2 linked regions of the Xenopus tropicalis genome follow. The protein of the gene in region 2 interacts with the protein of the main gene of each other region in a pairwise test. Links are inferred from orthologs where the notes say so. Each region holds a gene or a part of one and is shown on either strand. Other genes may lie near its edges. The genes, in order: ankrd1 and mypn.

What was found.
Region 1: the proteins of mypn (region 2) and ankrd1 interact in a two-hybrid assay, tested with the Homo sapiens proteins (2 studies listed by BioGRID). The link is inferred for Xenopus tropicalis from reciprocal best matches to the Homo sapiens genes MYPN and ANKRD1.

What each region holds. Positions count from the first base shown.
Region 1 is NC_030683.2:36,842,627-36,846,909, reverse strand, and holds the start of ankrd1 (ankyrin repeat domain-containing protein 1), read left to right. Parts: upstream 1-1,207; 5' UTR 1,208-1,223; coding exon 1,224-1,247; intron 1,248-2,325; coding exon 2,326-2,505; intron 2,506-3,460; coding exon 3,461-3,598; intron 3,599-3,683; coding exon 3,684-3,791; intron 3,792-4,083; coding exon 4,084-4,182; intron 4,183-4,283. UniProt on the Homo sapiens protein: May play an important role in endothelial cell activation. May act as a nuclear transcription factor that negatively regulates the expression of cardiac genes. Induction seems to be correlated with apoptotic cell death in hepatoma cells.
Region 2 is NC_030683.2:38,507,324-38,511,152, forward strand, and holds part of mypn (myopalladin), read right to left. Parts: intron 1,516-3,829; coding exon 580-1,515; intron 1-579. UniProt on the Homo sapiens protein: Component of the sarcomere that tethers together nebulin (skeletal muscle) and nebulette (cardiac muscle) to alpha-actinin, at the Z lines.

The sequences.
Region 1 (4,283 bases), about 1.7 Mb from region 2:
CAAATTACTGAAAAACATGTGCCCCCAAACCAGGTAGTTATTTTTGAATTCCTGACTTGGAGGCAAGTTTTGGTTGAATAAAAACAAGATTTCCTACCAAATAAAGCCCCCTGTAAGCTGATAGGGTGCATAGAGGCTACCTAATAGCCAATCTTAGCCCTTATTTGGCACCTCCATGAACTTTTATGGTGCTTGTGTTGCTCTCCAAGGTTTTTTACATTTGACTGTGGCTCACAAGTAAGAAAGGTTGGGGATCCCTGTTCTAGCAATACTCCCTGCATAGAGGCTCCCTAATAGCCAATGTTCATAGAGGCTCCCTAATAGCCAATGTTCATAGAGGCTCCCTAATAGCCAATCTTAGCCCTTATTTGGCACCTCCATGAACTTTTATGATACTTGTGTTGCTCTTCAATTCTTTTTATATTTGACTGTGGCTCACGAGTAAGAAAGGTTGGGGACCCCTGTTCTATTTAAAATAGATATATATTTACAAATTAATTGCAAACTTGTTTTGTTCATAAAATGTTAATGTTAACACTAGAATTTCCCCTTTTAAATGTTAAATGTATTGAAGATGAACTTAGCATTTTTTATTCAGGGTATCTGGTTGTTTGCTACATTGTAGCGTACAGCTGCTTAGTCAATTATTGCTTGAATCAGACGAGCGACAAACCCAATGATATTATTCTGACCATGAAAAGAAATAAATACAATTCCCAGACAGAAGTGACCGTAACCCTTCCTAACAGAGATGGCCACAGCTCCTGCCTCCCTTCCAGCATCATTTAGTCATTTCAATGTCAGCAGATAAATACGGTGCATGCCCAACACACAGCTGTCATACTGGTTCAGATAGAATGACTAGCATTGCTGAGCTCTTCAGTCATTGCCAATGGAATGGCTAGCTCATGTTTCATACCAATTGGGATATGCAATGTGGTTAGCCTATGGGATATTTTTTATCATAAGGCCCATGCTGCCCTCCCCTTCTAGCTCCCCACATGACACAAGATCTGGCTAGTTAACATGTCTGGAATGACAACGCACCTATCTCTGTCTGTGAGCTAGGTCCGTAGCTGTTGCTGTCCCAGGTTGGAATATTACCTCATTCTCCTTTCTCCGCACACACTATAAAAGCTAACCTGGAGGGGGGTTGTGAGAGCAACAACTTGTCTACCTAAGGTTAACATCAGAAAGGATACTTCAACTTCTCACTGGCAAAAATGTTGCTGAAAATGGAAGAAATGGTAGGTTATAGATTTTTTTTTCTTTAATTAAGACATTCTGGCAGTTTAAAGAACAAATATTAGTCAATAGGTTACATAACAAGGTTAATATAACCATGTGTGTGCCTTTTACTAACCATATAGTAATGGGACTTATTATATAATAAGTTTATCACCATTTAATTCTATTGTATAGAGCTACAAGTATCTAATTAAAAAAATATCTGTACTGGTACATTCCCTATTTCAATTAACATTAACTTTTTTTTGGAACATTTTTAAGAAAACATTAGGTAGATGTTTAATTTCAAAGGTAATTTGTTACTTGTGACAGAAAGTTTTCGATATGTTCTCACCCTTCCAGTAATGCAAGTTATCAAAATTATTTCCACTTGGAATCCAATCTCTTTGGGAACAAATGGCAGCCTCTGTTACTCCTGCTAGCTGATGCAACATGAACATCTGTCGCACAGCTCAGCTTCAGAAGCTCACTGCTTTATTACATTATTATTTCACGTCTTTGAAATTTTTATTTCCAGGAACATGTTAATATTTTAATTAGTGATGTAGATGAATCAGCATTCATTGTAAGCAATGATTTCATTCTCTGGAATAATCATAAATGGTTGTGACAGCTGTCGTAGGATAGTCCCACATTTATAGGAATCCATTTTTCATGCAATACTTTCATGTAAATGGATATTACTCTATAGTTTCTTGGTTTAAAAATCACTGGTCAGGGCTTTTGTAGGGGTTTGTCTTAAGTATAAGATGGAGTGTGTGAATTGTAGGCATTTTAAGCTGGAAGTCATAGCAGATATCTGAGGGACACGATCTTTAGCTTCACTGAAGGTTCATGGAAGCCTATTTCGGGGGAACTTGATTCTTTATGGACAGTACCCATGACTATATATTATTGATTCATGTACAATGAGTGATGACAGGAGCAACTGTTAATCTACACATTCAAGCACAAAGACTGAATGCCATCTCGTTGTGGGCAACTCTACCAATATATTGCTTTAACTGTTTTTAATGATCATACTTTGCTAATGTATTGGAACTTTCAAGTCACTGATACCCCTTTTTTTTTAAACAGGTACCTGAAAAAAAGAATGAAATGAAGAAGACTAGTAATTTTGTAGCTGGTGTTTCAAAGAATGGAGAATATGAAACAGCTGTAGCTCTAGAGAAACAGGAGGATCTGAAGACCACATCGAAATCCCTTATTGAGCTGGAAGAAGAGAAACAAATAAAGGAAAAACAGCTAAAATCAGAGGTGTGTTTTGTTGGGAAACCACAGACAGCCTTTTTAGTGGTATCATTGAATTGCATTTCGGTAAATTATATCTCAATCAATAAGCTATACATTCTTGAAAATGTGGTATTGAGATAGACAGCAGGTTACATTGCTCAATAAAACACTCCCATTCAACATAAGTTCTCTTAATGCAAGGGCACAGTTATTAATACACAGTTAATAATGCAGAAACCTTTAATTACAGCCCTCTGCAACACGGGTTTTATTTGCTTCCTGAATCACTATTTCAGTGGTGATGGAGATTATACAAACCATTGGCAGATATGGTGTTACACTGCCAAAACATTTCCCTTTAAAACAGGTTAAGACATAACCCATTGAACTAATCACAATGGGAAACTCAGACTGTCTACCCCCAAAACATATACAACCTTGGAGATAATTCTAGACTTTGAACTGATTAGGAATTTATTTTTTAGCACAAAAGCCCTGATTATGTCCTTGCTCTAAAAGTAACTTTTCTAAAAACTTGAGAAGCGACCCTTGTTAAATTTTAATTGTCCCTACTAGTATTTGGTGAATTCTTCCATCCAGTCTGATATTGTCTAAACCAGGGATCCCCAACCTTTCTTACTCATGAGCCACAGCCAAATGTAAAAAGACTTGGAGAGCAACACAAGCACCATAAAAGTTCATGGAGGTGTCAAATAAGGGCTAAGATTGGCTATTAGGTAGCCTCTATGCACCCTATCAGCTTACAGGGGGCTTTATTTGGTAGTAAATCTTGTTTTTATTCAACCAAAACTTGCCCCCAAGTCAGGAATTCAAAAATAACTCCCTGGTTTGGGGGCACTGAGAGCAACATCCAAGGGGTTGGTGAGCAACATGTTGCTTCTGAGCTACTGGTTGGGGATCACTGGTTTAAACATATAAGATACTTCCAATATTAAATATAATATTTCTTTGTCTCAAGCTCCTTAAGAAAAAACTAGAGGAACGGCCAAAGTTGGATAATTTGGAAGATCTACAAACAATTATTAATCTGAAAAAAAGAAAACGAGTCAAAAAAGTGCATGTTCCTGTTGTCAAGGAACCAGAGCCAGAAGAAATTGTAAGTCTGTTAAGGAACTGTTTAATACTAAAAGCTATGGAGGAGAGCAGGCACATCTAATACAAAAATGTTTTGCTTTACTCAGATTGAAAATGTGGATCAGACAACATTCTTCAAAGCAGCATTGGATAATAAAATGCCAGTCATTGAAAAATACTTAGCAGATGGAGGAGACCCAAACACATGTGATGAGGTAGCCCTTATTTCTGCTTCATACAACTGAAAATGATGTTGTTGTTGACTTTAATAACTACTTGTAATGAGGTAACATGGGATCCATTGTTTCCTGTGGGTGTGTCAGCTCCACATTTGTTTTAGTTCGTGTAGCCTGCCCCAAAGAAAACTATTCTATCTATTTTCAACCTCCTACAATAAGTCAGTTGAAGTGTAATCATAAATGAGCCTTCTTTACATGTTGCCTAAGGTTTGAAGCAGCTGTTCAATACTGAAACATCCATTATAATATCGTTGCATTTCTCTTTCAGTATAAGCGCACAGCTCTGCACCGAGCCTGCTCAGAAGGACATACTGACATGGTGGAGAAATTAATTGAAGCTGGTGCGAATATTGAATTTAAAGATATGGTATGTTGGAATTTCCTGTTATTAAATTACAACTTCAGGAATAAATGTAACTGTAAGATAGGGTTGTAACATTCAGTAAAGCCTTTGGTATCTTGGCAAAC
Region 2 (3,829 bases):
CACTGCTAGCCTATTATAAGTTATACTGTACATTCTATGTTGCTGATTGCCAGCACTGTAGAATTTGCATTTCTGGGCAACATACAACGTGGCAAGGTTAAAGGCCCCAGCAGATAAGGCATTATTGTCTTGCACAACGATCATATGAAACCAGAACTGAAAGTCAAGATTAAAGAGATCTCATTGGAGGATTTTCTTACATAAATTATTACTGACCCTGGACTGGAATTTGTAATCACATAGACAGTACTATGTCCAACTGGTTATAGTGTAATAAAGTAAATTTGGATAACAGTCAAAATTGCATAATAGAGTCCCTTTAGTAGATGCCTGCAAATTCTGATTGTAGCATCCTCTTGCATGTATAATTAAGTGTGGCCCGCCTTCTTGCCAGAGCTCAAATGAAGGTCCATTAAACCATTGTTATCATTTATATACAAAAGATCATTTTTTAATATTGATGTAATCAATGTTGTCAGTCGTCTGCACATCCAATTGTTCAACTTTTTTTAAAAACAGGTGACTAAATACAACTGCCCCCAATAATATGAAATGGAAATATAAAATAAGAATATGTACCTTACTTCAGGTGGTGGAAATCCAACCACAATACAGTCCAACTGCACTTTGCTCCCCTCAGTAACTTCCCTACTTTTTAATTTCTGAATAAAATTTGGAGGTCGCCCAACTGGCTCTTCAAAATAAAAAGAGGAAGACTGGGTATCGTTTTCAACTTGCAAAGACTCCTTTTCACATTCTGGATCCACTGCTTCCAAACTATTAGCTTCCTCAGAGATAGTAGTGTTTATTTCTGTCTTTTCTGGCGTGTAGTGAGGCCTCTCTCGATTTTCTAACTGGCAAGTGTAATTAGAGATGTCCTGCTCAAGTGTCCCACTTTTTAAGTCACGTTTGCTCCTCCGATTTTTTAATGTCTTTGGCCTAATTCGCTTGGAACTATTGGCTTTGAAAAGTGACGATAGCTCCTCAATAAAATCTGCAGCTTTATTCAAAAATTCCTTTTTTGACTCAGTTTCAGTTCCATATGGAGTGGTTCTCTGTGGCTTTTTCAAATCTTTCGTTTCCTCTGTAGAGTTTTTCAACCCTTTTATGACATGTCCCTGATAAAAATTTAACTCTTGTTCTCTGTCATTGACTGTTGGTATGCTCTGTCTGGTTACTGGTGGTCTTACAACAGGCCTAGACTGTCTTTTTAGTTCTCTCGGCGGACATTTAATATCAATCTGTACCTCTCTCTGGTTCCCATCTTGGTCAATGGCTTGTCTTGCCAAATGTACACTTTGGTCTAATTCTTCCTGGCTCAGAAAAGCAGAAAGATCAGTGAGGTCATCAGCTTCGCATAAGTCGTCTACTCTACTGGAGCAGACACTATGACGATAAGAATGAGATGAAGAGATTGATAGACTGCTCTCTTGGTGTATTCTTGTTTCAGCACTATAGTTCTCTCTCAGAATCTGAGAAATAGACGAAGAAGCTTCTATATTCTCGTCTTGCATGCTGTTGACGAAAAGACAGATAAGCTCAGTAATGTGAATATACCTGCTAGCTCTTTATGTTACACACCAGGGTTTCACCATGTTCCTCTAAATGATATTTTTCTTGTACAAGCTAACAAAAGGCATGAAATATTCTTCACTTTGTTGTTATTTTTGTTGTAAAATATGAACAAGACATTTAAGTATTTATCTGACAGAGATTCTATTTAGGCCAAAGCCACAATACTGACTAAGTGTAGCACAGTTTCTGTCTGGCTCTCGTAGTGCACCATTCATTTTAATAGGAATAAAGAATGTGCCAGTGTCTGACAAAAGCCTAATAAACTGTGAAATTCTAAGAGAAGAAAGGTAGTAAAATTAGCTATGATGTACTGCACATTCTGTGTTGTTCAAGACTACCTATGTGGATTTCAGAGGTTATGTTTGACTGTAGCATAAAGTGGATACATTTACAGCTTATCCCACAGAATCTTGGGTTTTAGACTTGTTAAAGCTGGATAAATATCATCTTAATTATGCCCAATGACATCACAGCCTTGCTCCTGATTTCAAATGTTAGTTGTCTGTCCCCCTTTCATCAGCTGCCTCCTTTGTCCAGGTTTTGTCACCGGTAAAGGTGGCAACCCTAAATCTAAGGATCTTTACATACACTTAATTAGAAGCCAGGTAACCTTCCTGTATGTTTTTGGAGTGTGGGAGGAAAACAGAGTACTCAAAAGAAACCCATGCAAGCACAAGGACAAATGCCAAGCTCCGTGCAGTGGTTGGATTAAACCAAGGACCGCAGCACTGCAAGGCAGCCCTAAATACACAGTGTTCCATAAAATCTTGCATTTAATTAATTTTCAAGATACTTAAACCAGACCATTGAACACAACATAAACAAAGAAAGAAGATGGCACACTCCCATAGCATAAAATCAATGTCACAAATGTATTCAATAAAAGTAATGCATGTCCAATCTTTAATAGTATGCATTTTGTTGTGATTCATCTTTCTCGGGGAAAAAGCTGTTTATGCTACTTTGAATACATGTTTTGATTTTTCACAAGAAATCCCGGAGTTGCTGGTCTTTTTTATACTATATATATATATATATATATATAACAGGTCAAGAATGACGGCACTCGTAGGATTTCCACAAAAAGGCAAAGAAAATAAAGATTTCTTAAATGCAAGTGGTGAGATTTATTGTGTCCATCGTTTCAGTCCTTTTACTAGGACTGAAAAGTGGTTTGTCCCTGAGGAAGAGTACAGTTAGTACTCGAAACGTTGGATTTTTTTTTGAATAAAATTTTTTCACTTTATCGTTAAGTCCTTGTGTGTGCGGCTCTCTGTTCATATATTGTCTCATTTTAGCCAGCACCCAGGGCATTTGAACTTTTATAGGGTGTGCTCCACTCTTCCTTGTATATATATATATATATATATATATATATACACATCAAACAGGAACATCTGGCACTCACGAAAAAGAAAATAAAATGCCTGGGTGCAGAGTTCAAACAAGTACACAGGGAAAAAATGGGAAGCCGCACACACAGGTCTTAGGATGATAAAGGTGATTTTTATTGCCAAAAGTGAATTAACGTTTCGGCTGTAGCACCAGCCTTTCTCAAGCTTACACCAACAAGTGAAAGAAAACCATAAATACTGTGCATGGTGGGAAATTGTCATTGTTTGATGACCTTGAGAAAGGCTGGTGCTACAGCCGAAACATTAGTTCACCTTTGCCAATAAAAATCACCTTTATCGTCCTAAGACCTGTACGTGCAGTTCCCTTTTTTCCCTTTATTCCCTATATATATATATATATATATATAAATATAATATGCCCCTGAGGAAGTCAAATAATGACTAAATGTGTTGGTCTAATATTGCCACAAGCTAAATGTATTTCTAAAGCATTTGTATTACTTTTATTGAAGAAATTTGTACCATTCATTTTATGCTATGGGAGCACACCCCTCTTCTTTCTTTGTTCATTCATGGGTCCTTGTAGACAGAGGAGTCTGCACAAAAATGTACAAAAACACTACCTTACAGAATCACTTTGGAATCTGATTTTAACTGACTGTTTTATTTATGGACATTTTTAAAGCTGGCTGTGGATGACCAATTTGATGGCTGCACCATTTACAGATTTTACTTATATACACCATAATAATAATGCCGTTAATATATTTTTTATATATGGAACACAACATGCCTTACACTTTTGTGGGTATGAACCCATACTTTTAAGGAAAAGTGCATTACATATTTGTATACAGTGAGAATAATTGTAATGCTTTGTATCATATATGTTGTATTAC